Linked DNA regions of Neodiprion lecontei. The protein of the gene in region 2 purifies or fractionates together with the protein of the main gene of each other region. This does not show direct contact. Links are inferred from orthologs where the notes say so. Each region holds a gene or a part of one and is shown on either strand. Other genes may lie near its edges.

Evidence for each region. Proteins that work in one complex are often made in the same cells at the same time.
Region 1: the proteins of cAMP-dependent protein kinase catalytic subunit 1 (region 2) and serine/threonine-protein kinase fused purify together in Drosophila melanogaster (affinity purification with western blotting; 3 studies listed by BioGRID, with this or other methods). This does not show direct contact. The link is inferred for Neodiprion lecontei from reciprocal best matches to the Drosophila melanogaster genes Pka-C1 and fu.
Region 3: the proteins of cAMP-dependent protein kinase catalytic subunit 1 (region 2) and protein smoothened purify together in Drosophila melanogaster (affinity purification with western blotting; 4 studies listed by BioGRID). This does not show direct contact. The link is inferred for Neodiprion lecontei from reciprocal best matches to the Drosophila melanogaster genes Pka-C1 and smo.

Annotation. Positions count from the first base shown.
Region 1 is NC_060263.1:2,682,920-2,693,773, forward strand, and holds serine/threonine-protein kinase fused, read left to right. Parts: upstream 1-3,439; 5' UTR 3,440-3,648; intron 3,649-3,957; exon of another isoform or gene 3,958-4,209; 5' UTR 4,210-4,404; coding exon 4,405-4,515; intron 4,516-4,634; coding exon 4,635-4,748; intron 4,749-4,854; coding exon 4,855-5,000; intron 5,001-5,174; coding exon 5,175-5,354; intron 5,355-5,472; coding exon 5,473-5,617; intron 5,618-5,714; coding exon 5,715-5,908; intron 5,909-6,109; coding exon 6,110-7,281; intron 7,282-7,357; coding exon 7,358-7,533; intron 7,534-7,752; coding exon 7,753-7,863; 3' UTR 7,864-7,880; downstream 7,881-10,854. Other genes in the region: 60S ribosomal protein L3, read right to left, coding at 1-138, 483-618, 950-1,118, 1,219-1,411, 1,812-1,814; NADH dehydrogenase [ubiquinone] 1 beta subcomplex subunit 10, read left to right, coding at 2,068-2,149, 2,268-2,403, 2,493-2,632, 2,787-2,899; zinc metalloproteinase nas-14, read right to left, coding at 8,683-8,859, 9,022-9,155, 9,930-10,232, 10,304-10,486. UniProt on the Drosophila melanogaster protein: Probable serine/threonine-protein kinase; maternally required for correct patterning in the posterior part of each embryonic metamere. May be involved in control of cell division during metamorphosis and ovarian development. May interact with costal-2.
Region 2 is NC_060264.1:27,452,094-27,461,714, reverse strand, and holds the start of cAMP-dependent protein kinase catalytic subunit 1, read right to left. Parts: upstream 6,416-9,621; 5' UTR 5,764-6,415; coding exon 4,702-5,763; 3' UTR 1-4,701. UniProt on the Drosophila melanogaster protein: Serine/threonine-protein kinase involved in memory formation. Promotes long-term memory by phosphorylating meng and by regulating CrebB protein stability and activity.
Region 3 is NC_060260.1:28,860,488-28,872,327, reverse strand, and holds protein smoothened, read left to right. Parts: upstream 1-3,366; 5' UTR 3,367-3,504; intron 3,505-4,115; coding exon 4,116-4,427; intron 4,428-4,809; coding exon 4,810-5,250; intron 5,251-5,385; coding exon 5,386-5,558; intron 5,559-6,186; coding exon 6,187-6,527; intron 6,528-6,741; coding exon 6,742-6,943; intron 6,944-7,096; coding exon 7,097-7,270; intron 7,271-7,469; coding exon 7,470-8,757; 3' UTR 8,758-10,247; downstream 10,248-11,840. Other genes in the region: dyslexia-associated protein KIAA0319, read right to left, coding at 118-343, 547-921, 1,003-1,175, 1,263-1,693; androgen-induced gene 1 protein, read right to left, coding at 10,358-10,410, 11,169-11,320, 11,399-11,616. UniProt on the Drosophila melanogaster protein: Segment polarity protein required for correct patterning of every segment. G protein-coupled receptor which associates with the patched protein (ptc) to transduce the hedgehog (hh) signal through the activation of an inhibitory G-protein.

The DNA of each region.
Region 1 (10,854 bases), on a different chromosome or scaffold from region 2:
AGTGGCAAAGACATTGTTGACAGGAACTGGTTTCTCGAGATGCTCCCGAGCCCATTGAACTTTTTGATCGATGGTACCACCGTTCAGTTGAATTTCCATGATGTGAGCCTTCTTTTGACGTTGCTTCAGCAGCTTCATCTGTTTATCACATAAAGGTATAATCATTATAATCAGGGTCCTGGGAACTGAGCAGAAAAAGGATTCATCACAATAGGACTGTACCAGACATGGTTTGCCTCAATGGTCACGGCCCAATGGGCTCCAAAGAGTTTATGGAATATGTCGTGTCTCCATACACTCTGCAAAGCAGAGGACAGAGTTAATATTCGACGCCGCGGTAAGAACCAAACTGCACGAGATCAAGCAGCTCCGCACCGCATTTGCTAAGAATCCAGCGCATTTCTGCACGAATTAATAGCAATGACGTCGGCCAAAAATATTTAGATTGGAGTAATGTTCCATACTGTGAAGGGAAAAATTACCTGAGTGTGGGCGATGATGCGCACAACCTTGCAGTACTTCACAATCTTCTTAAGATCCTTCTCGATTGATTTGCGACCAAGATCATCCTGCCACTTCTTTGATGCCTTGGTGAACGCCTTCTTCTTGCTCTTATACCTATACAACAGCAACGAGGTTCCTAAACATATTGTACGGAGCCAGTCTCATCATAGCGAGAGGAGACTGGACACCTTCTCGGAACAACCCCATGCATAATGAGGATTACGCCAGGCGGCTGATTCCGAATATTACTCTCATCTTTCGAGTGGAGAGCTGGGGTAGAGCAAGTAGAGTATAATGCACGTCTAATCACAGAAGCTAAAACTACATACTGCACTAGTAAAAAGAACAGTGTTGACTTGATGTTTTCTTTTTGCATTACTTTGATATATCAAGCTATCTAAGGATCTGGTAATTCAAAATGTTCAGTCTACAATCAATCGCATACCAATTCTTGTAGAAGCGGCGACGGCATTCTTCTGAGAGATGCTCTGCCCAAACAGTAGTCAGAGCCCTAAGACCATGAGGAGTTTCGATGTATCCAACAACACCAACAACAATCATTGGTGGAGTTTCCAAAATAGTCACAGCCTCGACAATTTCCTTCTTGTTGACCTCTGTTAAAAGCAAATAAACATGTCGTTGCAGGATTAGAGCGTGAGGGCTATGAATTTGCTCCATGATTAGGGAAGGGTGAAAATAGGGTAATCGACTCACTTGATCCCGGACGGTCAGCTTCTCGGACAACATGGGTCATGCCAGCCTTATAGCCTATAAAAGCAGTAAGGTGAACGGGCTTGGTAGGGTCATCCTTGGGGAAGGCCTTTACTTTTCCACGATGCCGTTGAGACCTCTTCTTGGGGTAGAACCCCATAGACCCGTGTCGGGGCGCGCTGAATTTTCTATGAGACTGTGGGCAAAGAATGAAAAATACAAGATTAGAAGTTGCAGATGGCCACGTGTGACGGGCGTTTTGTTAGGGGATAAAATTCTCAGACCGCCCTAGAATAATATCATCAGGGTTAATCAGTTTAAACCATAAACATTGAAATCTAAATCATCACTGATAGGAGTAGCATTGCATCGAAAACGCCAAAAACTCTCGACGAGCCAAGGGACGCGACACGAGGTTCGAATTTTCCGAAAAATTTTTACGGCGTTTTGGATTAACGGTAGGAAAAAAATATTGCACTACAATTACAGAGAAACCTGTTCTCAGTAACTCGATGAGTTAATTGGACGCAGGCGATGCAGGATGCCACAGATTTTAACGGATTATTTTATCACCGACAGACATCAACCGTACTCACCATCGCGCTGACTGCGTTGAAAATGGAGGATCGTACGTTGCGGATTTCACTTTTATACCGCAGTGATGACGGCAACTATGGAGAAGCCTCGATATTCGATTTTGGAATTCGAACGTCAAGTCGAAATGGAAGAGACACACCTCTCGATTACTTGACATCGATTCACTGCAGTCGGATCTAAATCTCTCTGTCGTCTGCCTCGCACTTATTTTGAGAACATTGTTTGTTGTAAATAATAATTAAATAATTGTCTAATATGGCAGAGGAACGGAACATTGTCATCGCATTTGCTAACGCGGTATTCAATATTCTTGACGGACCTGTCACCTTTTTCCGAGGTATTATCTAATCACTTCTTTTAGGTTATGATACGAAAATAGCCGATGTTCCGAACGACCGCCCGTGTCTTCTCAAGCATGTATATCTCGATGATAATTCCTTGATTACGAATTTTAGAAAAAATTGTTGTCCCAAATCAGCAACATTATCCTTGGTACCACCAAAAATTTCGCCGTGTTCCAACCATTGATGAGTGTTATATGGATGATCCAGTTTGCTCGTACGAAGCAAACATTCAGTTCAAACGAGACAAGTAATTATACCGAGTTACTGGTCATTCTTTCTGGGTAGCTTCTTCCTATCAATTGTCAAACTTGGCTTTGTTTCTCTCTCATATTTCAGACTGGTTGAAAGCGATATCATAAATATTCTAAGACAACGTTTCGAGGATTGTACTTTATATGAAGGACATGACCAAACGGCCAAATGTCGGCATCTGTGGGATCAGTACAACGAAGCTTCTACGAATTGGTTTATCAAGTGTATGTTGAGTATGGCGCCGACTTATCTTACTTGTTGAATCTTCTGTACTCTGAACATCTAATATCGAAGAATGGTTTCTTCAGATTTTCAGGGATTCTATATCTCCACTGCACGATACTGTACACATAGTAAACATTATTATCATTTTTCCAGATGGTGACCTTGGTGCATACGGTCACACACGAGACGCATTAATGAAACAAAAACATCGCATGATTTGGGAAAGACGATATGGTCCAGTTGGAACTGGAATGAATCGCGAATAAAAACTAAAATGAAAATACATTTTATAGAGTCGCGAAAAATCGATATTGTAGATAATTATACACAATAAATTAATAAAAATGATCATGAAACTTTTCTGATTTTTAAACAATAATGTAATTGCTAATCAACTCAATCTATCGCCAATAATTCCAAGCGAACTGTGAGATGTATCTTGAAGAAATTTATTGAATGTATGTAATACACATAGAGGTGTTTCTCTTCTATCTATAAACCGTTCAAACATCATTCGTAAATTCTGCTTCAGCTATGTGGTTGCCGCGCTTTCTTCCGTATGCAGCTAGAATATACCTATATGTATTTACAAATTTTTCTGAGGTCGTTGCGCTACCGACCACTGGCTCTATTATTCAGCAGTTTTTTTTTAAAACTAGTATTGTATCTCTACGTTCCTACATCATTCCTACATCTCTGATGAAAACAAATTTTTTTTATCAACATCAGGCGCACGCTTAAAACCAAGGACTCTAGGTATAATGCAGTATACAAAATAAAGTCTGAAGAACATCCGCGCCTTATACTGCAGGTGACGGCAATTTGATAAACGTGACTCACGTGATCGAGAATGCGATCTGAAATTAGCTCTGAGTGAAATTTGAATTCAAGGAGAAACCATCAAAAGAACGGCGCACGTACTTCGACTGTTCTTCGACGCTGCGGAATCCAGATCGCATTTTTCGGGGTGGATCAAGAAATCTGCGTTAGTATATTCCTACTAAATTTATAATAGGTAATTATATCACATAAAATAGTTAATTTGGCTTTTCTTTTACTGTCTCATTCTTGCAAGCTCTTGATAAATGTGTGCTTGCATTGTTACTATGATTGTGTATTCTTCGGCCAGTTAATTAGAGCAAGTTTGTTTAGTCGGTTTCGAATGTATAAAATTATCGTTCGTCAAATGTTTCAGTCAACGTTTCAATGTATCTTATATTATGCCTAAAAGCTTTCAGTCATCTTGAGATTGCTCCCGAGTAGAGTTTTCAGTAATGATAACTGTTTTCTGATGAAATAATGCTTCGACAATCATTCATCTGTTGATTGAAATTCGACGACTGAAAAAACCGTTACAATGGAATCCGGACTATGTGGTAATTATGTTTCGATCAATTCGCCGAAATTTTCACGGTCAACGAAGGGCTACCGGCTGTCTGCGTCGAACAAAAAAAAATCCAGCTGAATCAAAAATTAGCAGAGATGGGTTTTTTCTGCCAATTGTATTAATCATTGTTCATTAATTGATTATTGATTATTTGGTGGTCGCTACACCCAATCATATCGCCTCTATAAGACTTCGGCAGAAAACGGCGGCCAAAATGGCGGCGCTCGACCGGAATTGATCAGGGTAATTCTTGGCACGTGAATTGTATGTTGTTTTGAATCGTGTCGGACGTTTGAAACATTGACACGCGCACGTACAAAAGGTTCTCTGGTCTGAGGTTATTCGAATGACGGTAAACTACGTCTCCAATCGTGCGAATTCGACATGGAGAAGTACGAGGTACTCGGTCAGGTCGGCGAAGGATCTTTCGGGCAAGTCTACAAGGCCAAGAAGCGAGCGGACGGTGAAGTTGTCGCTTTTAAGGTTATCAGAAAGGTGAGCGCGTTGTTTCCATTTTCAAATTCTCAGCTCCGATAGGTTTCGACGGTTACACACACGCACACGCACACGCACACACAACAGAGCTTACGCTATAATTAAATTTGTATATGCAGCGCGGTCGTTCGCTTAAAGAGCTCAAGAGTCTGAGACAGGAATGTGAAATACAACGTCACCTCCATCATCCAAACATCATACAAATGTTAGATTCTTTCGAGACTGAAAACGAGGTGAGTTACTCGACTTTCATGCCGTTTTGAGATTTACTCTTCTTTCGGAATTATAACACGCACGTCAATTATCGATCCTCAAACCATCTTATGAATGTATCTTTAGATCGTTGTCATTACGGAATATGCTGACAAAGAGTTATATGAAATATTAGGAAAAGCTGGCCGCTTGTCAGAGGAAAGAGCCCAAGTTATTGCCTGCGATCTTGTCTCCGCACTTTACTACTTACATTCAAATAGAGTGCTTCACAGGTTTGTGGATCAAATTTTTCTCATTTATGGCAGGCGCGACAGAGTCGATCGCATGTTAATTTACCAACTCCCAGAGTTCTTTCTCAGTGTTTTAGAAACAGTTGCTTGACACGAGTTTTGACATATCTTGCGGATTAGTCGCCAATGCATTATTAAATCTAATTATTATTTCAGAGATTTGAAACCCCAAAATGTTTTGCTTGAGGCTAACGGTGTGGCTAAATTGTGTGATTTTGGATTTGCTCGAAGCATGAGCACCGGCACACATGTTCTCACTTCGATAAAAGGGACCCCTCTTTATATGGCTCCAGAGCTAATTGAAGAATGTCCATACGACCACAACGCTGACTTATGGTGCGTATCAAATATCAGTGACATCTGATGCTGTTAAAAATTATTGGGAAATGAACAGAAGTTAGTTTTGTACCTTCAAACTCGGACAATGGATTATATTTTTTTTATTGATGTACAGGTCCCTTGGCTGCATAGTTTACGAGCTAGTGGTTGGAACGCCTCCTTTCCAAACAACTTCCATATTACATTTGGTCAGACTCATAAGATTTGAGGCAGTCAAGTGGCCAGACTATATATCAGAAAACTGCAAAAGCTTTCTGCAGGTGAGCATTTTTTTAATACCTTAAAATTGGGTTACCAAATATTCTTATCTAGTAACTCATTATAATTTCTGGAGGTTTTTGGTCAATACCTATTCAGGGTTTGCTTCAAAAAGATCCCTCGCTGAGGCTCACTTGGCCAGATCTTCTGAATCACCCATTTGTCAAGGACAGGATCCTGATGGTCGGTAGAACTGCTCCAACACCGTTCACAACTCCCCTGTCCGCGAGTCAAGCACGAGCTAAACAACAACAGCTTCAAAGTCTCGCCATGCGTTCCACTAGTCAATCAAAGTATGATTTTTTTACTAAAATTTATACCTATCATAAACAAAGTACTATACGAAAATTTTGCAAGGTTTTCTCAAACTGAGAAATGTCTTTTTATCAATATATTGGATTTCTTCTGTGATATTTCGAGCCATATTGGGCGGAAAAAATTTGTTTAGCTAAAATTTGATGGTTCAAGTTTCACAGTTTCATGATATTTTACAGAGTTCTGGAAAAAGCAGTACAAAAAATTCAAGAACAAGAACGCAAACTAAGGGAACAGCGCCACATGACTTGCGTCTCTCAGCCTCGATACCCAATTACACGTGGATATTGTCAAAACCGGCAATGTCAAATTTTGTGTCGCAGTGAACCTAGTGGATCGGATTCCAGTGCCAGTGTTGACGTGCTGCTTGGGAATCTGAGCCTAAGGGCATCTTTGCGGAGCGATCTGCTTGCCGCAGATCACGCGCTGTGCCAGAATGATTGCCCTAACACTAACGTTAGGCAAGCTTCCATCACGGGGACACTTGAAACTGCGCAACCGATGAAGACGGACGAATTCAGAGGAAAATCTACCTCCCGACGGACGTCTAAGGACAATAATTCACAGGCTCGGGGTGATGGAGCGAGTGTTTGCCACAAAGGTACATCTGCAGTTGAACAACTGCCCGGTGCCGATGGTGATTACAAGCAGAGTCGTTTGAGTTTCGACTATGATCAAGAATTTAGTGAAGATATAGCTAACAAGCAAGTCAGACTTTCTGACTGGGATCCCAGGGCGGTTGAACAACCTATAGAAAATGAGGAGTGGGTGGCTTTTCTACAACGATCAATGGAAGAAGTGATGGATGGAGAGGTCGTGTCGTTGCTGCAGCAAAACTGCGTTTCCGTGTTCGTTTCGCCTCTAAGAAACCCAGCCGCAGGATGCCGGGTCGTCGAATATGTCGCCTGCCTCTTGTCCCTGCCTTTTGTCCTTCCGATGAGTGTGGAACGCCTGAATAAAATAAAACAAGTCTATCTGGACGTCAGGGTTGTCCCAAATCTGGTCTATGCAGTGAAGCTCTTGATGTCGGAACGCCGAGAAGACTCGAGTCCTTCGCCGACCGGCGACACGCGATCAGCTGCCACTTTGTCAGCGGACGAGCTGCAGGCACTTGAATGTGTGATGTTGATGCTGTGCAGACTTGTTTACGTTCAGGAGCAGTTTCTGACGCAGCTTTGCGATGCTATTTACATTGTGAACGGTATGCCTCTTCTTCAGCAGCTCATCACTTTGGAGAAACGGAAGTCCAGGGTCGTTGCCGACCTTGTAGCCATATTCAACAACGTTCTCAGGTGTCAGCCTGAAAACGCCGAGTTGGTGGAAAGAGTCGTCCTTCGCACAAAGACACCCGGTACTTATCCAGCACATAGTTATTTTACCCAACTTTTTTTCCCAATGCGCAACAGTAATCGAATTCTAACTTACAGTCGAACAACTTAGCAAGCTCCTCACGCACAGACAGAGCGTTCTAAGGGCAAGAAGCTGCACGTTGGTCAGATTACTTGGAAGGTTCAGCTGCAGGGCACTACAGCAGGCCTGGGGTAGGCCACTTAGAAATCTACTCGAGAGTCTGACACTAGACAACGAAGAAGTAGTGCGTAACGTGAGTATTATATTTAGAGAAAAATTTATCTAAATTCTCCAGGAATCAATCAATTTCACGTGCAACTGCTCTGTCTGGTTTTCTTTTTCTGTTCGTTCACCGTCAATTGCGTTCTTATAATTCGTTTTTTGTCCAAAATGTACATTAATTTCGATTCCTCATAAAAGATTCTTTATCGAAAAACGATGAAAATTATAAACCTGTTTTGAGAAAAATCAGATGAGAATACATCGATTGCTGATTGGAACCGCTCGTTTGCAGGCCGCTGAAGATGCGGTTAGTGAGTTGAAGCAACTGCTGTATTACAACCAGCAGAGTCCAACCGGTTAACTGCAATACGTTCATCATCATAAGTATCATTAAGACGTTCTGTGTTTCCGTTCCAACCTGTGCGACATGGATCTATTTTCAGTGAGTTTTTAATTTTTTTTTATTTTCTTTTACAGTTATTTTCAATTGCATTTCAAATTCAAGATCAAGGGTGCTTTTCTTCGATTGTTATCGAGCATTAATTACGGCGAAATACTTTAATTGCTGGAAAGGTTTATTTAGCGAAAAAGTACATCATAATAATGTGCTTATTATTTTTTATCCCATCGTTCTCAAAAAAAATAAGTATAATTTGAAGAAGAACATAATTCATGGTTACTGTAGCAATTTCTGCCGACGAAAAGATTAAATAAGCTTTACGCCGATTTTTCATACTTTTCGTATTACCGTAAAATCGTGATAGGAGTAATCTGTATGTGATATGAATTTCACGCATTGATTATATACATAAACACTTACACATAAATTAGCTTTATCATTAGTGAATTTACAGGGTCATTTATTCGTTGCGGAACACCGGGTTCGACTGACGCAGTCGTTCTTCCTGACGCATGCATAATTAGTTCCCTTTCTTACCCGGGTCTTGCGTTCAGCAACGCATAAATGACTCTTTATGATGTATGTATCGAATTTGTTAATTGCGAATTTGATTTAAAAGATATTTATATTTCTTTTTACACAAATCTAAATACAATGCCCTCGGTATTTTACTATCGGTGGAAATTATCGTCTTCCGTTATTCTCGCATGTTTCCTGCTTTCGGTATGAAAGAATCGCCCATCAGAATTACTCTAATTTGAGCTACAGAGCCCACAAGAGTCAGTCGAATAGCCAGCCAAGTATATTTTTCTCTTCGCTAGACTCGCTCGTGCTACCAGATTCGCTTGAACTCTCCGAAGACTCGCGCGCTTTGCATTCCTCTTCGTACATGCGGTCGATTTTCGCGATATCTTTCTTCGTCAATCCCTTGCGCTGGCCAAGCTTTACCTCCTCCTTCTGTAAGGAAAAAATGGGTTTTTAATTTTTGTTCGAATTTGTTCGAAAAAGAGTCTAATTAATATCATCCCTGAGGTGCCTAACCGTAGGCAATTCATAGTTCTTGCAAGCAAACTGTGTGCCTGATCTACCGTCAAGCGCGTAACAATTTCAGTTTCTTACTATTGGTGTGATCGTGGGCTGATTGTTCTTCGAAAAAGCGTGCGAGCTATAGTGCATGATGCTCTTGTAGTCATAGGGGATTCCGAAGTCGGTTACTGTCTTGTTGTCGTATTTCTTGAAGTTGTGCTCCTTGCCTTAATGAAAGAAAACTTTTTTATATCGCAATTTATCATGCCAAGAGGCAAATGAATGGGTATAATCGTCTGAATCATGAGTTACGAAATGAGAAAACAAAAACCGTTGTAAAAATCTTCAGCCATGTTATTTACGACAATGATGGTGGACATGGATTAAACAACATTATATTATGTTATAGAAATGAATCTGATCGAATTCGAATAACACAAGCTAAGATGTCAACAATTTGAGCAGAGGTTTCATAATCAAATAATTCAAGATGAACCTTCGTTTTTAGGCTCGTTTTACCCGCCGATCAAATTTCCACAAATTGTTTGAAAACCAACCAAGAAACCTCAAATTATAGTATAATCGTAACGTGGCAATGTAATTGTTGACAAAGATTTGTTGTACCGTGCTTTCGAAAATCTATTTTCATCTATCGTCGAGGTGATTTTTTGTGAAATTTGTAAATCGCGATATCTGTGGCAGAAAAAATAAGCCCTAAAATATTGAAAACACCAGAGTTAAATGATCACACTTCGACCAATCGAATCGTAAAACCTTTTTTCAAATTGTTTTTATCCCAACTTGAGTGTCCTTAAAATTCGCTGAGATTCATTTCGATTAATGCATAGTACGGATGTCGTTTCGTTCATTCATCATTGGTGTAAATAACACTACTGCGGTGATTGTTTAAACGGTCATCCTCTTTTTAAAAATCTCATTTCGGATCTTGGAGGCGATTAATCTCCGGCGTCAATCGCTCCAAAGGATAACTCTGATCACACCTTCCTGGATATTATCCCAATGTATCTCGACCCAATCGTCCCTGTCCGCGGCGCTCTGCTGATGGTAGAAACCGAGCGCGTGCATCAACTCGTGGACCACGATCCCATGCCTTACGCATTTCGGGTTATTAACATTTAGGACTTGCCCCTGTCCGTGCCGACCGACCATGGACCAGCATCCCGACTCGGTTCCCCTTATCGACACGTAATCCTCGTCGGATTTCTCGTAGGGTCTGAATCGCAGGCAAGTTCTCTCGTGATACTCGGTCAGCGCTCCCTTGATCACCTCGATGCCCTCCTTATCTACGATTTTGTATAATTAAGAAACTGCGCAATTATCATTATACAGGTGTACCGTAATATAAGCCTTTCACCGAAATCCTCCTCGTGGATGTGGTAGGGAATCTCGCCACGCGGCCACCGCGCCTCGGCTTCCAGGAGTCCGTTTTTCGCGATGTCCCGTCCCTCGGGATGGACCATGATGTCACCCTCGAAGAGACCGCTCAGTTCCCAAAGATTCTGCGTGTCATCCGGCTTCCAAGCGTCCATTTTGCGACCTTTTTTCCCATAGAATAAAGAACATGTGACAACAACAAACCCTTATATAACGCGAACATGTTTTACGCATTTTTCCGTGAATATTTTCCGTGCAGAAAGTACTCGTTTCTAATCGTCGGAATGAGTCTGCGAATGCACATGCGCGGAGTACTGAAAAGACCACTTTTAAGTCCTCGGAGTGTTGAAAGTGGTAATTTCTGTACTGCGCGCACGCGCTGTCGTGAACAAATCTGACATTACGCTATTCTAACCTCAATTTCGTGTTTCGCTTCAAAAACGCGTAACATACTCTTGGTACATAAAAAATCGTGTGCAACAAGGAGACAACTGCCATTTCGCCTCGCGTGTTTGCAATATTCTTCTTTGA
Region 2 (9,621 bases):
TGCATAGAATCTACTTTCCCGCCAGCTTTGTTTCAATTTTTGCCAACGCGTCGTTTTACTACGATACCAGACAGATTTCTTTTTTTCTTACGTTTTCTTTACGGCGATTCTATCCGTGCGTTATTGACACACGCGCACGGACACACGCACGCATACATATGCGTATAAATTTTTTTCCTCCCCTCGTTCTAAATCACATTTCGTTTTTATCAACTACGCGAAGTGACAATCGTAGTACGTACGTGTTACCACGCGAGATTGGCGAACACGCGCTGTAAGAATACTTTATTTGTACGATTACGAGTTGATGAATATAAGAGGAAGAAGAAAAAAAAAAAAAAGAGAGAGAGAGACGGAAAAAAAAGAAGAAGAAAAAATCACAAACGCGCACGCGCGTGTACGACGACATATTAAATAAATAAAATCAAACGAAGGATTGTTAAAAATATTTCTTACTCACTCTCTATCTCTTACTTTAGTTTCTCTTAAGAAATACGTGACAGTTTTTTTTTTTTTTTCCTTTTGTCGCAAAAACTACCAGCTGCCGAGATCGGGTCGCACGCGTTTCTTTCTGTGTTGTTGTTGTTTTTTTTTCTTGTCTAGTTTTTTTTTTTTGTTTTTTTTTTCCTTTCAACAAATTTCACTTTATTTCTAAAAACACATCGAGATTACTAACATTATAATACTATGGCAAAATAATAATAAACATAGTATTAATAATAATAATAATAATAATAATAATAATAATAATAATAAACGTAAAGCGTTTTAAAAGTTCTGTTTTCATCAGATAGAACAAGAATAATAATAATAACAGCAATAATAATAATAATAATATTAATAAGATGTATCATGTATCGGTATTATATAAGTGTAATAAATATTTAAATCCATACAAATTCATATGTGATATTATTTACTATATATGATATATAATATAATGTAATACGGATTCATAAGCAGCGCAATTGTTAACCCTCGGAAAAATCTCACGTCTTTTTCTTTTCTCTTATGTAATGATAATTAATTTTTTCATCGCTTCTCCCTCTTTTTCTCTATCTCTATCTCCATCTCTATCTCCATCTCTATCTCTTTCTCTCTCTCTCTCTCTCTCTCTCTCTCTCTTTCTCTCTCTCTCTCATTCTTCACCTTGTTTGTCGCAGAGATACATCGAAGATAAAAGTACGTACTATAATAATAATAAACCACATCGTGCATGTAGCGTTTAATAATAAAATACACGTTACACGCGAAGCGAAATTTTTCGACGTTGACAAACGGCGAAAAAATTCGTATTCTATTACAATTTTTCCATTTCGCGTTTTCTACTAATTTCATTATCGAAATTCGCGACAAAGTCCCGTCACCCCGGACACCGCGATAAATTGTTTAGAAAAAAAAAAAAAAAAACACAAGTCAAAGACGACGACGACGCCGTGACACAATTAACGGTAAACATTCCAACTTCGTTCTACGTTTTTGTTTGTTTGTTTCTTTCTTTTTTTTTCTTTTCTATTTATTTGCTTATTACTTTTTGTCTAAAAATTTTACGCCGCAGAAAACTCGCTCCAATTTCATAATAAAATTTACAAACTATCATAAATAATTTTCATAACAAGACGAATGAAGAAACACAACGTTGTAAAACAATGCAAAAATTTCTGGTGAAGGGGGGGGGTTAGCGGTAGATTATCAGTACACGACACGTCGGCAGGTGTCGTTGATTTGGCAGGCGGAGAGAAAGAACCGGGTCATTGCGGAATATTCCAATGGAAATTTCAAAGGTCCCTGGGATGCGTACGTAAGAGCGACGCCGACGACGTTACGCGCTCTTCTGCAATATAACGCCACCACCGCGTACGAAAACCGCTTTTACTATTAATGTCCCCCTGGGCTAGAAACACGAGAGCCCTGAGATCTCCGAGACGACTGGTTATAATAACGCCGTTTGAATATTCATAAACATTTTGCATACGTAGAACGAACTAGTTCGAATCCAACGTACTCTGCACAAGTGACGAACCTCGCTTCATTCGCTGTTCGCGAATTTACATTAACGCGAGAAAAAAAAAAAAAAGAAAACCGCGTCAGCGTTTCGGAGGACGTTCGTGTTAAAAGTACGGGGATTGCGTTGATGCGTCCGTCTGTAAAAATCTCACTTTCAAGGAAGCTGCTTGATATTTACTAGATGGTAGAAAAAACGAGGCTGAAGTTAGTAACGTTAACGTATCGAGAAGTTGAAACTAAGAAAAAAAAAAAAAAAAAAATCACTATTTCCCACCGTTAGGAAAACGACATTTTTTTTCTATAAGATGCACCGTTACAACAACGTAACAAACTTATTCCAAAAATAAGTCAAATTATGATCATGTTCGAGATGTCCTGAAATTTGCGCGCATTGTACTGATTCAAAAATGCAACGTTAATGTTAGACTACGTACGATACGTTTTGAAAACCATAAGAGCAGCTCCGCTGACTTACATGTCCCGAGGAACGAGTAACGGTAAATTCACTTAACATTTCACTGAGCGATCAACACACTTGTAACGATCGACGAATAACGATGAATACGAGAAAAGCGATGACAACGAAACCTCGACGATTCGCGTTCAAAATTCAATATCGTACTCTTTTTTTCATCAACGTTAGTTTCTCATACTCCGACTTGATGTGCGATTTCGATCCGACAACGAATATTGATTCAACCATCGGCTCAACGAATCCCTACAAGATTTTAAGATAATCAGAATTATTGTCACTGCAAAGTATACTTTATCCACACTTTTTCATCACTCCATGAAATATTTGCAAAACACGGATTCAAACGAGAACCGAATTCATGATCACAGTGTTATAATTTCGATATAAATATAACTGTGTCACGAGTATAGTTAGCTAACTTTTCGGTCAATGCGACCCCCCCCCCCGTAGACAAGGATAATAATAATAATGATAATCACCGACGCAGAGCAAGTCGTTTGGAATTCGCAATTCACAATCGGAGAATCATTGTTTTTTTTTTCACATGCGTAAAGAATATGTACATACGTATATAAAAATTATTACAACAATAATAAAAAGATGCGAATGAACAAAACGAAACGACAAAAAAAAAAAAGACGTTCGACGCTAAAAATACATAATAAGAATTGAGGGTGTTTCAACGCCGTCGTCGACGCGTTTACATCGGATAAAGATCTCCCTGCGGTGTGATAATAAAAGTTGACGACAAACACACGAGGAGAGAAAGAGAGAGAGGATGAAGGAAGAGGAGAAGAATGACGACTACGACTACGACAATGATGATGATGATGATGATGATGGTGATGGTGATGAAGATGATTATTATCATTCCTCGCCCGCAGCGACAACGCCGCTGAGAGAGTATAATAATATAGAAATGACCGTAAAAACTCATATAAGGATGTTTACTCGTATTAGCAGAGTGCCGCGTAGCAATACCGTTTATAGGCTAGAATGGCTAGATGAATCGAGACAGTTCGACACGATCTGTCCTATCATTTCTCATTACCTCCTCCGTAATCTCTACCGACCACCGCGAACATTCTCTTCGACTTACACGTGACAACATATTAGACTGACTTTAAAATTATAGGTACGCGTGTTTCGATTATCCCTTTTTTATCTCTCTTTCTCTCTTTCTCTTTCTCTCTCTCTTTCCCCTTTCGAAACTCTCTTAAAACATTTTTCTTAATTTACACTATATAACGGAAGGACAGACAGATCATCATGTTTGTTGAGATTATGTATCTCCAATTCGTTCATCCACACACACACACACTCTCTCTCTCTCTCTTTCTATAACACGCCCTAAAACAGAAAATAGAATCCTGTGTTTCTCTCTATGTATCTGCATTTCTACACACGTTCACACGGACACACACAAAAATTATATCTTGGATCGTTCATCCCGCGACGTTGCTGAACGTTTTTTTATTTATTTATTTTTTTTTCTGTTTCTTCTCCCTTTCTTTTTCTTTCTCCTATTTTTCCAGTACTCTTCACTATTCTTCGTCTTCTTCTTCTCCTTCTTCTCTGTCTTCTTCAACTTTTTCTCCCTCTTCTTCTTCTTCTTCTTCTTTTGATTCTTCTTCTTCTCTCAATCGAGGACAAATTATAAGGATTACACGTGATACCGAACGAGACGACGCGTCACACGGAACACGTATATTGCAGACACGGGGTATACGGATTATACGCGCGTATATGATATAATCCTGCATCGGTATTAGGACATGGTACGGCGTTCGAAACTTAGCACCGGTACCAGGTTTTTTTTTTTTTGTTATTCATTTTTATTAATTTTTTCCTTTCTCCCGTCATCCTCAATTTGAACCCCCGTAGCCGTGTAGCCGTAGCTGAAGGACGCGTTTCACGTTGCGTCCAGAAAAGTCATCATCGTCGTCATCATCGTCATGATCGTCGGCGACGACTGTTCGATTGTATACCGAACGCGACAACGCGATCCGTTGTTGCTGTTCTTGTTCTTGTTGTTGTTGTTCTTGTTGTTGTTGTTGTTGTTTATGTTGATCTTGATATTGTTCTTGTTGTGGTTGTTTTTGTTTTTGTAGTAATTGTTGTTGTCGTCGATCCAGTTGTTGTCGATCGCGCGATATGTTGCGACGACGTAACAGCCACGACCGGATGATCGTAAATTGGTTCAGATTAGCTTCGTCGCCTCAAAACTCGGCGAATTCCTTGGCGCATTTCTCCGTCGAGGAAATCCTGAGCGCCTCCTCCTCGTAGTCGTCGAAATTGCTCGTGTCACCGGGTCCCTTGCACCTCGGTATGAACGGTGCCTCGATCCTCTTTTGAAAAACAGCGATCCAATCGGTGCTCGAGAACCACTTGTGACCCTTGATGTCGTTCACCCCTGCCTTCAGGTTGCCGTACCGTTTCGTAAGGTCGACCTGAAGCAGGTTCCTCAGAAGGTCCTTAAGGTCGCTACCGAAGTGCGACGGGAACCTGACCTTGCCGCTGACTATCTTCTCGTATATCTGTATCGGCTGGTCGGCGAAGAATGGGGGATAACCGGCGGCCATTTCGTACACCAGGACACCCAGTGCCCACCAGTCTACCGCCTTGTTGTAACCCTTGCTGAGTATGATCTCCGGTGCCAGGTACTCCGGCGTTCCGCAGAGGGTCCACGTCCTGCCCTTGACCCTCTTGGCGAAGCCAAAGTCGGTGACCTTGAGGTAACCCTGGGAATCGATGAGGAGATTCTCGGGCTTAAGGTCCCTGTATATAAGGTCCAGGTAGTGAAGGTATTCGAAGGCGAGTACGATCTGGGCGGCGTAAAACCGCGAATGGGGTTCGGAGAACCTGCCGACCTTGCGTAGGTGACTGAACATCTCGCCGCCGGGTACGTACTCCAGTACCATGTAAAGGTTCGAGTTGTCCTTGAAGTGGAAGCGCAACGAGACCAGGAACGGGAAGCTGATAGCCTGCAGAATCCGTTTCTCGTTCAGGGTGTGCTCGACCTGCTTCAGCTTCACGACCTTCTGCTTGTCCAGTATCTTCATCGCGTAGTACTCCTTGGTGGGTTTATGCTGTACGATCATTACCCGTCCGAACGACCCGGTCCCGAGTGTTTTTATCCGTTCGAAATCATCGAGCCCGGCCGTGTTCGTTGGATTCTTCTTCCATTTCTCCTCGAAGTCCTCCTTCGCCTGATCGAGGAACTCCTTGACACTCTCGGCGGCGTCCACCTTCTTGTTTGCCGTTGCGGCGTTGTTACCCATCTTCGAAGAGCCGCCCGAGCCAGCCAGGGCTCCACGTATGTCGAATTTTTTCAAAATTTTGCAAGCTTTTATGAATCCGGTAAGACGGTTAATTTATCAAGCCAAACAACTGAGGCTTGATGTATCAACGCTGGGCTCCCGAATACTCGCGCTATCGCAACTTAACCGAGTAGGAACACCTCCCGGATCAATGTCTCTCTTTCTCTGTCTCTCTCTCTCACTCTACCGGCCCAGGCCCTTCCTTCGCCTCTGACGATAATGTTCTGACTCGATTCTTATCCCTTATCCGGACTTATTTTTATCCACGGTGTAATCTACTTAAATTTATTTGTATGTTTTCTTTTTTCTAAATTTGTTTATTTGTTTTGTCCTTCGATTCGCGTCTCTCTTTACTTTTTCTATTACTTAATCTGTCTTTCGTTTTTTCCTCGCACTTAATTAACACCCCACTGTTCACACCACCATCGATGCTCGATTTACGAAATGGGTCAACACTCCTCGTCCGTGGCTCGCGCCATCTTTCACCCCGCCGTCACCTTTCCACCACCACCACCGGCACCTCCAACGGAACCAGCACTACTGCTGCTGCCACTACCACCACTACTGCTGCCGCTGCTACTGCTGCTGCAGACAACTGCTACAACTACCACCACCACCACCACCACCACCACCACCACCACCCACCACCACCACCACCACCACCACCACCTCCACCACTACTGGTCACCACCCACCACAACTACCGCTGCAGGGGCGACGGTGAGTGAGGAACGTTTATTGAACAAAACACTGTTCCTGACTCGATGATCCTCCTCGGTGGCGTTGCGCAGTGTCACAGTAACAACTTTTCGATAACCAATATTTATTTTCTCCGACTCTCGGTCTGTACTTTATCCTCATATGTATATATCACAACAAGTTTTTCAGTGTCACCAATTGTTCGTCGCGTGCATCATTCGGTGTGTTCTCGCAAGCTTTTGGTATAATCGAGTCGTCGACACTTGTTCAGTATATATATATTTTTCCCACCGAAAATTGGTCGACTGTTTAGCGTACTTCTTCGCTCTTTCGTTACTCACGTCGTGCAGATATCGGCACAAGAGCGTACAACGTTCCGCTATAATCCACTACTGCCGGAGAACTTCGGACTAAAGGTCGTGTCGTTCGGTGTGTACAAAAGATGAAAGAGGCGAAACTCTGTCCGTATACACGCGTAGCTGTGTAAGTTTGTGTGTTAGAGAGGGAAAGAGAGACGGAGTGAACAAGTTGTGTTTCGACTAGTCGAGGCGGGGAAGAAGGGGGGGGGGAGAGAGAGAGAGAGAGAGAGAGAGAGAGAGAGAGAGAAAGAGCAAGAGAGAGCGACAGACAGAAATAATATTTCGGTGTACAGTTGTTCTTTTTATCCGTCGTCGAACCAACTCCGCTTCTCTCTAACTTTAGTCAGTATATTTCTCTCTCGTCTCACGATCCGGACGCCACAGCAGTAGTAAGTAGCATTTACGACCGTCGGTCCGTTCACTCGCGACGAGTGCCGATCGTCAACGCGAAACAGAGTACAGCACGAATATTACTCAGTCTCTTCGTATTATTCCTCTCGGTTACACCCGTTACATTTATCCCTCTCCTTTCAATCCGTTCGAATTATATTCAATAGATATGCATGTGCATGCATGTTGTATGTCGTGTGTATGTAGAATAAAATATATATCCGTCGAAACAGCGCACGAAGAATCCCTCCCCCCCCTTTTCCCTCCTTAGGAGAGTTATCAAAATCGTTCCCCTCCTCTCTTCTTTTCTCCTCTACGATATCTTCTCGCCGGTTTTGTACCCTCTGTTTTGTGTTGAGGGATTTTTATTTATTTATTTTATTTATTTATTTTTTTTTTTACTTCTTTCTTATTATTGTTATTATCCCCCTTATTTAAGATGGCGTCCGTCTCCGTATACGTGCGGCGGTTACGCGAAAGTCCGCCGATAATATTCCATCCTTTCACGGGGATTTTGCACGAACGCGAAAATGGTGGATTTAGAGGAGACGGAGGAGGAGGAGGAGGTCGAGAGAGAGCGGGCGAGCTGGTCCGCGCTGCTCCGTGTAAACCCGTATAGACCGTGAACACAAACTAGAGAAATACGGTTGTCGCGTTACGTCGTCCTCGTCGCCGACGCCGCCGCTCTCGCCGTCCTTGTCATTGCCGCCACCGCCGCCTCAGGGATGTCCGGAGGTTCACCGAACGACGTTGAGAATTCTAATCACCTCCGTCGTCCGCTAGATGGCGGGTCGAAACCCGGCGTCAGCGGGCCGGAGTGATCGGCTGGTGCCGCCACCTGCCGACGGCGTCGGTGAACCAAATCTCCCCTCCCGGCGCTATTTCCATCACGAGACCGGCGCGGACGGTGACTTTCCTTGCTTTACTTGTTATCATTATTTCCCCCCGCGACCTCCCTCTCCGCGCTCCTCGCTCCGATCTTTTTGTCTTCCTCCTTCCTCTTTTTTCTCACCGTTTACACCTGCCGCCGTCACAGTGTATGGATAAAAAGAGGTAGAGAAGTGTTTCGGGTATGTATATGTATGTATGTGTGTGTGTGTGTGTGTTGTGTGGTTGCTGGTGTGTGCAATATGCCCGAGAAACTGGTCGCGCGATCGGACGGTGTGTGATGATAACAATGATAATAACGACGATGATAAAAGCATAATCAAGAAAACCAAGATAAATTGGATAGATAATTTGAGAAAGAGAAAGAGCGGTGGACAGCGAAATATTGTGAGAAAGATTAACCTCCCTCGGTATCTTGTTAGTTACGTGAAATAATATTCGAAAAAAAAAAAATATATATATACATATATATATGTTGTATAATATGTATGAAACTTTGCACGTAACAACATGAAACATGCAATCCAAAAACTTTCACTACTTACAAGCTCTTTGCACGCTTAGTAACAATGAGATTAGGTATTATTCCTTATTTGTAATACATGTTGTAACGTTATACCAAATGAGGGAGAAAATAGAACTTATCGCGGGTTTTCCCGGCGAAATGCTCGGCATAAATTCATATCTGTAACGAATTAATTGTAAGGAAAGTAAAGAGTTAAATTTACGAGGCTGAAGTTATTAATGTAACGTTTAGTAACGGAACGTTAGGGAGAAAAAATCATTAAAGTGCAATTTCCGAATGACTTAGAAGGTGTCAACTTTTTGAAATATGTGCGTATGTTTTGTTTATCGTTGTTTACTAGATTTCAGATAATCCTAAATGTGCGAAGTAACGCGAGTTTTCCCAAACATTGCATAGTTACTGTAACGTTACTAACTTCATCCTCTTAAAAAATTTTAGTACAAGTCATCGCTGCGAAGAAAAATCTACTCGATTCATACCGCATATCTTAAACCCTGATTCGTATTTTCATGTTTACTATTTAGTTGAACTTCTGACTTGGTTTTCAATCAACGAAACGTCTGCAATGCATTTGTACATCGTTATTACATGTACAGATAATGTTATTCAAGACTTTCACTTTCAAAATAACCCACATGTATTCCTATATTATACCATCCTGTTTTTCATATCGTAAATTATCGTCTATTTTTAGGCAGGTCCAACAACGTTTTATTTACAAAACAACAACACGAACGTGATGTGTAACATCACGGTGGAAATTTTCAATTCTAAACATACCACCGCCAACTTGTTCATTTTTTTTTTCCTTCCAAATATACAATATAATTCCTTCGTAACGTATACCGTGTCGCGTATCCTTTCTTAAATTTACGGCAAATGAAATAAGAAAAATAAAACATGCACACGCACACACACACACACGCGCAAGTAGGTATATGCTTCATCTTTCATCTT
Region 3 (11,840 bases), on a different chromosome or scaffold from region 2:
AGAAATTAATGCTGTGGTAAATATTTTCAATTAAAAATGAAACAAAAAAAAAAGAAGATCAACATTTTAATTAACATTTCTCAACGCCTTACAAATAATGTTAAGAAAAATACATACTTGAAAGTATAGTTTCCTGCAATCAGATTGTTCAACTGAAGTGTAGGGGTATCTAAAAGTTCTGGTTGATAACCAATTGGACCCTTCTGCAACTCCCAGTGATGTGAAATCACTTTGTCGTCGTCCGTACTTGCCGATCCATCTAACACAGCTCCCGTATTAGGTAACTTCACTACTTGGGATTCCGGTGATATTACAGCAATTGGTGCCTGATTTACTCGTTTGGCTACAAATGCAGAAGATTGATAACTCAGTCAGAGAATACATATTAGTTGATCAGTAAAATGTATAAACCTACATACTGCAATTTGACATTACAGTAGTTTCATTAGAAAACACGTCAAGATCATGTACTCAGTTGGATTATTCGTCAAATTATCAATGACATGCCAGGTAAATCAATGCAAAAGGTAGCATTATGATACTTACGTGGTAGAACGCTGACATTTGCATATGCTTCTCCATAGGCATTAGGACTGCTAACAACGACTTTGAACATATATAAGCCCTCGGAAAGATGACTAAGCTTTACTGTGACACGATTTTGATCCATTATAGTTCCAGGTGGTCCTTCTGGTTGACTTAATAAACTCCAAACATAATTATAATGCTCATTCCCTTGTTCCGCCGGGTAGGTATATGCTGTTAATGTGGCCTCATTTTCTGGGAGTTGAACTTCCTTAGATACAGCTGATACTGATAGTTTTTTTAATGGAGGTTTCACCGATGTGCTTGACTCCTGTGTGACATCTGAGGTAACTGCCTGCCTGAGACCATTGAGCTCATCCGTTGGTTTGCAAATTCCTTTAAAATTAGAAAAAATGTGGTTACAATTTATGGTGTTACGAAGTAGGTTAAATTTTAACATGGTTTTTGAATAATTACCTTGCAATGTTCTCTTGTAATTATCAATACACTGACAGAATCCATTTTTAGACTTGTCACCAGTTACACAAACCTCATTCTCTCCACATTCTTGCAAATCAAATGAACACTCGGTGTTAATGTCGGATCTATATGTATAATCATTTTGATCTGCAGCAGCCATCAGCAAAGCACTGAATGAAATTTATAGTTGTATTACATTTAGTCGTATCTGCGAAATATTATGTAAAAAAATTAAATGCGAACTAAATTGTACGTACCTGGTATCCTCGTTATCTTCGACCCAATTTGCCCATGGGCCATCTCCTTCTACAGGTCTGATTAATACCATAGTTGGTGGAATATAGCTATCAGCTTTGTCAGGCCGATATAGCGGAGCACAGAGTTTATTGCTTCTACATGATACATGATAGCAAGTATTATTGTGCATCAAAATAACGTTGCAAGTCAGATCATGGCAACATTCAGTCACGCAATGGACGATACTTGTAAATGAACTCATCTCCGTAAACGTTCCTGCACTGTAGTTTCCCATTGGAGCAAAGCCTTTGTATTCGTATGGATACATATCGGGACACATTCGTTGCCAATTCCCAAGTGAAAACTTGGAAAATTTAGAAAACTTAGAAAATTGGCTTGTCGTGATTTGCAGGCACAGGAGAAGAGACAGTGTGTGGATTAGGGATTTCATTGTTCAATAGCTGCGAAATTGGAAAAAAAAAGAGGATAGATTTCTTCAAATTGGGTTATTGGTTATTGTTATTAGTATAATTACGTCATCTTGAGTTTTATTTTAATAATTTCGTATTGCATGAATGTAGGAATATGTGAGAAATGAACACTCTGTATTGACACATGAGTGGTTGACGTTCGAGAGATAAAAATTCAATTTTCCAGATTATGTTTACTTCAAAATTTTCAATGTCTATTTACTGCACACACTATGTCATGAGCAAAGTGTTACTAGCATATTACGGATTTATTCATGTGATAATCAAGCTGCATTCAGTGTGATTTGAGTATAACCAAAGAAAAACACTACATAAGTGTAAAGTTAAAAAAAGAGGTATATCTTTTATCAGACACTTACCGCCGGTACATTGTCGCAACAGAGAAATAAGCTGGTGAATATAAAGAATATAGAGTCGCAAAAGTGGAATGCAAAGTATTAAAAATATTTGGTAAAGCCGCTTTCGATAACACACTTGACGTCTGCCGTTTGTACAATACGAAGTTAGGTTAGTATCACCAGCATATGGCACATTATGGATTATTCTAATATCAGTACATTAGAATAGCCTGCAGGTAATTAACATAATGTCTCTTATTTCTTTAATCCCCAGATGTGTTTCACGTACGTTTAACGGGAAGTTTTTATCAGTATGTAAATAATCTGCATACGGGTCTTATCGCACTTCCTCAGCCCTCTCTGACGAGAATCGGTCTAACAGCCGTTGCTAAAAACTTTAAAACTTTTGCTTACTCACCTGTAACACAAATTCACCATTCATGAGTCAGATCTTCAAGGCTAAATTCAACGTCAGTGGAACCATTAGAAAAATCGGATCTGACAGTTCTCCAATCCCTCCTTCTCTTTGATATCAGTGGACTAAATTCACGACTTCGTCTGCTTTGACAGGTGTGCGATGCCGTCTGCACTGGGCTGCTACTGGCATGGCGTAGAAATGGTGCATGAGATAACCAATCCTAGCTCCGTGGTGTTTTACAGAGTGATGTTTCCGTAACTTATCGCAAGATGTCGGTAAAAGACTTATGCGCTGACGCTGACGACTCACGGGCACGGCAAGGGCTCGGTTTTGGATGCGTTACGATGAACTGAAGACGTTTAGATGTGTCCCAGCTTTGCCTTCGGAAAGAGTATGGAAACTACACAAGGAGCACGAACTCCATGTAATCAAGTAGCAGCCTGAATTAAGATGACACTGGTGTTCCGTATGCACCGAAGGCAGTGCAGGGGGTATGGGGTGGTAGTGGAAACTTTCTACGAATTACATTGCAAGATCATCGATCAGTCGGCTTGAGCATCCCTGCAACCAATGACACTTCGGTACAAAAAATAAACCTAATGTAAACGATTACTGTGATAAGTTTAGTCAATTCACCTACTTGAGTTCTTGCTCATTGTGTAGTCTCCATGGGAAAGAGTTAGGTCTCCTCCCCTCTTCCTTCCTGGTAGCAACTTATCGCCGACTGAATGGAGGATCTTGACGTCGTGGGTGGTCCCGAGGTACCCGGATCGGGGGGTGGTCGCGGGGGCAGGGAGCAACGTGCGTGTGGTCCTTCGTCCGGCATACCCGACTACCCGCCGCCCGGCGTCGTCAGCTATAGAATGCGTTGCGGGCACGATTGCATGCGGATCGCTTTGTCTGAAAAGACGCTTCTCGGCGACGCTCTGATGACAAATCGGACAAATGTCAGAGGTTGTCGTGGAAAGATTGGCTGATAATTACTTACCTTGGTCAAGGAGTATTCGATATCAAGGTACGTGATCGTTAATTACACATCCCGGTTATTTTTAAGTAATTAAAAATTTTTACTTTCTCTTGGAGCTTTATAATTAATGGTATTTGAGGATAAAGTGGTGTGCATTGTGTGCAGTAAGTCCAATTTTCCATAAAAATATTATTTATTATAACAATATTATTTCTCCTTCGCGTGTATACACATATTTGGGTTGTCAGATTCTGATCATGTTTTTAATGGTAAATGTTAAATTAGAATGGTCAGAACCTGGCATCCTGATAAGCATCCATGCGTTTTAATTGTAAACATCATCGTCAACATAGTACTCAAACTTGCACACATGAATTATTGGTACTTATATCTTTGAAAAATCATTATTGAAATGAATATACAGCAACATCTCGTCAATAGGTACAAGATCAGCTTGTAGTAAAAAGATTGGTTTTTCCAGATAGACCTGAGAAACTGGCTACTGATTATGAGATTTATTTTACTATCAATAAAATAACGCAAGATGATAGTCTCAGTTTAGTCTATTTTACTTGAACTTGCTTTCTAGGAAAGAATATATGTATATTGTATACGTGCATTAAAAACAAGACTACAAGTGTAGCATTCTCTGTAATTAGATGCTCCAGCTTGCCTTTTTGATAATGGCCGTATTCTATGGAGTTGGATCAGAACTAAGCCGGAACTTTTTGTCTGTTGCCAATGGTAATAATGAAACCTGGAATGGAATAGAGATTGGAAGGTCAGGGCTCAGACATGAAGACCAGAGTTTCTTGATGGATGGATATACAAGTGCAGAGTCTGCAAATTGTAGAAAAGCGGCAAAGTGTATTGATATCAGCAACAATACTTTGTGCATGGGTACTAGATTGACGTATTCAACTACTACGTTAGACCTCATCCCTGATTCTACCTTAGAAGGAAGTATACAGGTTATTATTGTACATATGTATATTAATGATAAGGAAGCATGCATTTTGGAAAATTTATACTGAATACCTCCTGAACTCAGTACCTGATCTGTCAAAAATCTGTTCCAATTATAACGGGTTATTGTGATTCTGTTCGGGAGCAATACTTGAAAAACAGTTCTATTAGTGCTAAGAATAGCTTTGGTATTGATGGTAATCTTGAGATTCAATTTACTTCTATTATATGATGTAATTTTTTTAAAACCGAATCATAGGTGATTTATTTCAAGACTTTAAAATACTCTGAATTCTATTAACTGTTACTCTATGTATTTCACTGTGTACGTTTAACTGGTTTCAAATTAACTAATTGGATCTATGTATTTTGAATTCATCTTCACAGGAGAACTTGAACCAATTCCGTGGTCTTATGCACATTCCAAAATGCTGGGCAGTAGTTCAACCATTTTTGTGTTCAATCTTTATGCCAAAATGCATCAATGGCATTGTAGATTTGCCTTCGCAAGAGAAGTGCAAAATGGTCTCTGGCCCATGCCGTTTATTGTTTAATCACACAATCTGGCCAAGTTTCATCAGATGTGAAAATGCAGAACTTTTTCCAAAAATGTGTAAAAACGATGTCAGAGACTTGAAATTCAACACTTCCGGTAAATGCCTGAAGCCACTTATACACACAGACAATTCACTATCAATTTTCGACGGTATTGAAGGGTGCGGCACTCAGTGCAGCGATCCACTTTTCACACCGGACGAACAGCGTCAAATCCATTCCTTTGTCGCATGGGCTGCTGCAACCTGCCTACTGTTCAATTTGTTTACCGTGGTAAGTTAGTAGATTGCGATAATGAACTTGGCCCCTTGAATAGTTGCATTGAACTATAAGTATATATCAAGCTTTAGTTATGAATTGTGACTTTCGATCAATGAAAATTCATCAGAAGTTGTTCGTTATGTTTAGGTCACATTTTTGATTGACTGGAGGAGTGCTAACAAATACCCAGCTTTAGTAATATTCTACATCAACAGCTGTTTCATGGTATCGTGTGTAGGGTGGCTGGCACAGTTCGGTCCTGGTAGCAGAGATGTTATTGTTTGCCGAAAAGATGGCACTTTAAGAATGAGTGAACCAAGGTACATATAAATTTAAGTTGAAAATGAGCTTCTGCAAAGAATAAGATTAATTACATTGTTTCTTACTGATTTTTCAACGGGCCTTAAGTACGCTAGATGCATAAATAATGCCCTACTGAATCAGTATTTTACTATAGCAATGCGAATAATTGCGCTTATTTATAACCACTTATTCCTTATATGAACAATAAACTCATAATACTTTGTGTTTGTATACCTAAGTGAGTGCGTGTCAGGGAATATACTACACTAATATTACTTGGTAACAAATACATGTAGTTTTTCTCCTTGGAAATCACGTATTGCTTACGTTCAGAAACAGTTTCCTTGCTAGGCTATACTGAATAACTAATCAAGTACTTTAAATTGATAGGATACATGTGTATGTCACATCACATCATTGATTTGGTTCTACAAATGATAAACTGAGTGTCTGACTAGAATACTTATTAAGTAAAGTCTACTGTAATAAAAATCGCCTTCAAGCCATTTTGATATCTTTATTTGTGTCACGAGTAGATTGTAATTTTATTTTTATGTACCAATATTGAAATCATTTTGCAAATGAAGCAAACTTGATTCAGAAATTTTAATCAAATTAATCACACAACGAATATCTGTTTTGCAGCGGTGAGAACTTATCCTGCGTGGTGGTATTTGTTCTCGTTTACTATTTTCTGATGGCAGCTATGGTTTGGTTTGTTATCTTTACGTACGCATGGCATATGAGTTTTCAAGCTCTTGGAAAGATCCAGGACAGAATTGATAAAAAAGGAGCTTATTTTCATCTCATCGCTTGGTGTCTTCCGCTAGTATTGACAGTCACAATTATGGCTCTGGGAGAAATAGATGGAAACAGTGTTACTGGAATATGTTTTGTGGGCTATGCAAATCACGCTGTGAGAGCGTGGTTTTTATTGGGACCTATTTGCATTGTACTACTTGTTGGAGGATATTTCTTATCAAGAGGTATATTATTTTGAACTGATTTTGTTTTCAGTACAATGCAGTAATTCATAATCTAATTATACCATTCTATTTTTATGCTTTCTTCCACTCGTACTCAAAGAGTAAGTATGTTGCAAGATTCGTATATCTGTCAATTGATGATTCTACAACTTGGATAAACTAATTTTCTAATTGATTCGAAAAATCAGTTTCTCAAAAGTTTCTCCTGTTTCAGGATTGATAACGTTAATTCATCTGAAGATAAGCAGTCAGGAAGTAATATCTAAGCGAGCTAGCTCCAAAATTCGAGAAACAATTGTGAGATTGGGATTATTTTCGATATTTACCTTTGTGGCAGTAATAGTAACATTTTATTGTCACATCCATGAATTCCAACACTCGTGGGAATGGAAACAAAGCTTCCGAGATTATATGATGTAAGCGTTTGGTTATGCATAATTATTGTGAATTTTTTGTTAATAATTGTTTTTAAAGAGTACTTTTGTATGACCACTATCACTATATTGCTACAAAATACTGGACAATAGTAAATGTATAATTTTTTAAATGAATACCAATTTTATGCTTAGCTGCACTATTACAACGAAATATACTGCAGGAGTATCAGAATGTAAAATGACATCAAGACCCAGCGCGGCCAAGCTTCAATTACATTTATTATCGCCATTCTTTGCTGGTGTTTTAATGTCTTCTTGGGTTTGGACGGGATCAACTGTGGATACCTGGAAAAGATTTCTTAGACGGTGAGAACAAATTCCCCAAGACATGGCAGCTATAAGTAAATTGATATTGTGCAAATACTAAGTTTTATGTTGAAGGTTGATAAAGTAAATTCATTTCGAATGAATGACAAGAGTTCTTGAGAATTCTTCACCAGTATGCACTTTCACAGATTACGTAAGAATATTGATTTACTTACTTCGAATCTGTTCATCATTACAGAACTTTCAACTGTGAGGCAGAAGAACAAATTATACCAAAAAAGTACAAAGCAATTGCTCAAGCCTATGAAAAGAGAAATACATTTAAAAATGCTGGACGATTATCTATAAGCTTCCACAACACACATGAAGATCCAGTTGGTCTAAATTTTGAACTAAATTCAGTAGCCTCTCAAGACTTCAGTTCAACGTGGGCAGCTGCATTACCAAAGCTGGTGACAAGAAGGGGTGCTTTAGTTGGTGTAACAACAGGATCTGTATCGAGCAACCGACGGAATTCCGTTGACTCAGAAATTAGTTTTAGCGTTCGTCGTGTGTCTGTAGAGTCCCGAAGAAATTCATTGGATTCCCAAATCTCTGTACAAATAGCAGAACTTAAGACAACTAGAAAAGTAGCTTCCACTACGTTACCTGGTAATTCTCGTAGCAGGCGAGGAAAACGTAGGAGGCGCGATTTCAACAAGACAAGATCTGGAAAAGTTAAACCACTTTTTCGAAGAGGTAGTACAACATCACAGGAGAGCGAACTGGGAGCCCAGATTCTTTCAGCTTTGACTATTGGAGGGAATCCCAACATTCCGCCCTTACAAATGCCAAACATGAAAAGAAGATCTGCCAGTGCTGGCCTGGATGGGCAAGCCATAAATTCAAAAATGCTAGATGGTAAAAACGCAGGCATGATATTGCCGTTTTTATTCCCAGGACAAAGTGAGAGTGACGAAAACTTGAGCAGTGAAGAGAAAGGTTCGCGTATTAATCCACGTAAAGACATCGATGTGGAAGCCTGCAATGTGGATAAAGAAGAGCAGGACAGTGAGAGCGAAGATAGCCATGCTGAAGAAAATACGAAAATGATATCTGTTGAAGAACCTCCCGAGCGAAGTAAAAGTAAGTCAAGTAACAATAGTACAAAGAGCTATATTCATGACAGTAGTGGTCGACGTAAAGAACTGAAAGTAAAAGACATGGAAGTAGAGCTCAAAGATATGTACAGAAAAGGTGACCTGGTATCGAGTTTGACATCTTTCTGTCCGGAGCTCTCTCGACTCATACAATCTGACGATTCGAAAACGAAGTTAACAAAGCGTCAAAGTGATGATGCAAACATTCAATCCAATGCCAGAGAGATGGCTACACAAACTTCTCTCCCTCTTGATATTTTAGAGATGGAGGAATTAAAGCAAAGTATTGATGAAATAATTAACAGTAGAAATTGTAGCTCTAAAGGGACACAGATTTCCCCACAACTCAACAAAACAGCTAATCGTAAATCTTCTGACATCAGGTAGAGTTGTTTAGTCATACATGAAAATTGAAATGTGTTTTAAGCCGGTTTAGTGTCAGGTAGTGTGGAGTCAACATACGTACTTGCGTGTTCAACAAATCTAAGCTATGTTTCAGGTAAAGCCGAGTACTGTTGAGATCTATACTTCTTTTAACGTAACTCTTTTAACGTAATAACATTATATTAGGATAAAAAATAAATCCAGCTAAGTAATAAGTATATTTTAACTCTGTTCAATGTCGGGAAATGTATTTCGAGAAATTGACCAACTTTGTAAAGCAAATAATTGTGATACTCAATAAGCATGATTACTGAACATTATACAACTAACCGTCACAATTTATTCATCTGAAATCAGATGATTTAATTGTACGTACTCAACACTTCTTATATTTCGTTATAATTTATAGTATCATGATGTGCCCTTAATTTACTTTTTTCAACTTTCATGTAAGCTATCTATTACGAGCATCCACGTACGCCATTTTACATAATCTTGTTGACATTTAATTAAGGTATGATTTAAGATGCATGCCAGAAGTTGGCAAAATATGGAGGCAAACAAATTCTTTTTACATATTTAACATTTTTTTTATTCTCAAATCAAGACTGACTGAGTGCATAACGTTCCAACTTGTTGGAGCAATATTGATCGTACTTTGTTCGGAACAAGTATCCGAGATCAATATTGTTTTCGATAGATAATTGTGTTATAGATTGACTCCAATTCTTGTACAGGTAATCAGTATATCAGCTTTTTTAAGTATTAAGTTTTATTATACATAGCATGGCTACTATCATAATGTCATGTTCAATTTTTTCCGTTTACAATAATAAAGTGCAAAAAAACCACCCATCCCATTGTGTATTATATTACTCAATGTCTCACAATTCGAAACAATGAATTGCTCGAGTATAGTGTTATCTAAAATGAGCCAGTGTAAAATGTTCGAGATGAATACAGTTCCTATTGTACAATGCAATATTTTGATGCATCTGAAATCATATTGCTTGAAGCTAAAAAATACGTACATTTTCACTTTCTATGGATAGTAATTTACAGTAAAACCACAGATAAGTAAGCCGTACTACGATTAAAGCACTATCGCACAAGAAATGAATGTAAACATTATTAATGAACACATTTTAGTAAACATTAAAATACTTTAAGGCAACAACGTTCTTGTTCCTTTTCGAGTAAGTAAACGAAGTACTACAATTCTTACTAGATCTCACAATCAAACAAAACTCGACGTACTATGAAATAGCTCATTCATCAATTTAACAATCTCCATTTATTTTTACAAAATGTAACAAATTGCTTCATGATCAGATCTGATTGCTGCAATAACTGTCCTATATAATAACTATATTTATCGTTATTGCTTAGATAACAATTATCAACGATTCTTATATGCTGAATTTTACATCACGGCGTAAACGTGATGACATGTTACAGTAATAACAAATGCACTGTTACGAAAAATGCGGAAAGGACAATGAAAAATCTTTTAATGATATGGATCAAAAATTAAACAAAAATATATAACAATTTATGCATTGGTAATAGCAATGAAACTATATAATACCAACAGATTGACCCTTCATTTTGATTTCTTCTTCTTGGCACTCTTACCTACAGATTTCTTAGCCCGTCCTGAAAAATATCAGATTGCAATTACTGAAGTTTTGTAAGTAGAGAGAAGTTAGAGTATGGGAAAATGTTATTTTTTCACAAATGTTAATATTAGCAACGGGAACATTCATTTGAATGCAATAAAACGACCATTTTAGATCAAGCAGCCCAAGGAAAAGTCTGGAAGTATACAATCAAGTACAATGGGTTCAGTAAACTTGAAAAGGTTATTCAAAGTTATTCAATTCACTTATATAAATTTGGTTCTTCAAAATTTAATTTAAACGTAAAAGATTAATACATGTTTAAAACATATATTGATAACTGAAAATGAACTGATTTAGTCGTTTTGTAAAATGTTAGTGACGTTGGACCTGACCTGACTTTCAGTGAGGTTACTTCTACTCCATCAAATATACATCCCCTTGAAAATATGCATTTGGTGGAGTAGGAGTAGGAAATAAATCGGCGACCAATTCGGCGGGCGTTAGGGTCAAACCTTGGTCATGTAAATTCGGACCACTTTACACGCACTTATCGAATTGCAAAATTAAATTTCAATTTTCCAACACAAAAACGCATAGATTAGATGTTCATCGATAAAATGTACTAGTTTTGAAATCAAAACTTAGACAACTTTGAACGTGTTCCTAAACATGCAGACGTGCATTCAAAGCACAAATGTGTAATCACCGCCATTGAAGAGTATGCATAGTTTCCTGACATTTCCTGTGAAGGCTACTTGAAATGAGATTTGCAGGGATGAGATAGAGCGTTACCCCAGATGAGCCGATCCAAGTACTCTCCCAAGATGTACAGAATTGCAGTAAATAGGAAAAGTACAACGAAAAAACCAACCCGCTGTGGCCACGACAGCACCTCCATGACAGGATATACCCAGATTTCGCTCTTTGCATAAATAATAAGCAACCTGCAGAAATAATTCATCATTAAAACATCATAAAACTCTTTTCCTCTAAATAATGCAATTATTTATGCTGTGACGTACCACACTAAGTAGGAAGCCATAAATATAAGTAGGCCTCCAAGACCAGATAATCGTTTAGGATACTGACGGGGAGCGACAATCATTTCAAGAACAGTAGTGACCATGATTAGAGTGTGCATCAGATGATTTAACCACCAAGGAAAATAAGGATCTACAGCAGCTGGTAGTACCAGCTCACGGTCCACGAACATGAGTGCCCAGAAAGTCACACCGACAAACTGAAGAAATACATGAAATGAAACAAAAGCCTATAAGTTCAACTTGGTACTTCATGTATTGTGGCAAGACATGTGCAAAAAGTAATCTCATCACATGAAAATTATTTATCTAATTCATACCAGTAACTGCTGCTCTATACTCTTTTAGCAAACAGCTCACATGGCCAGTTGTACATATAACACTATCCATATACTGATCATGGCAAGCTCGGATTAAACGTTAA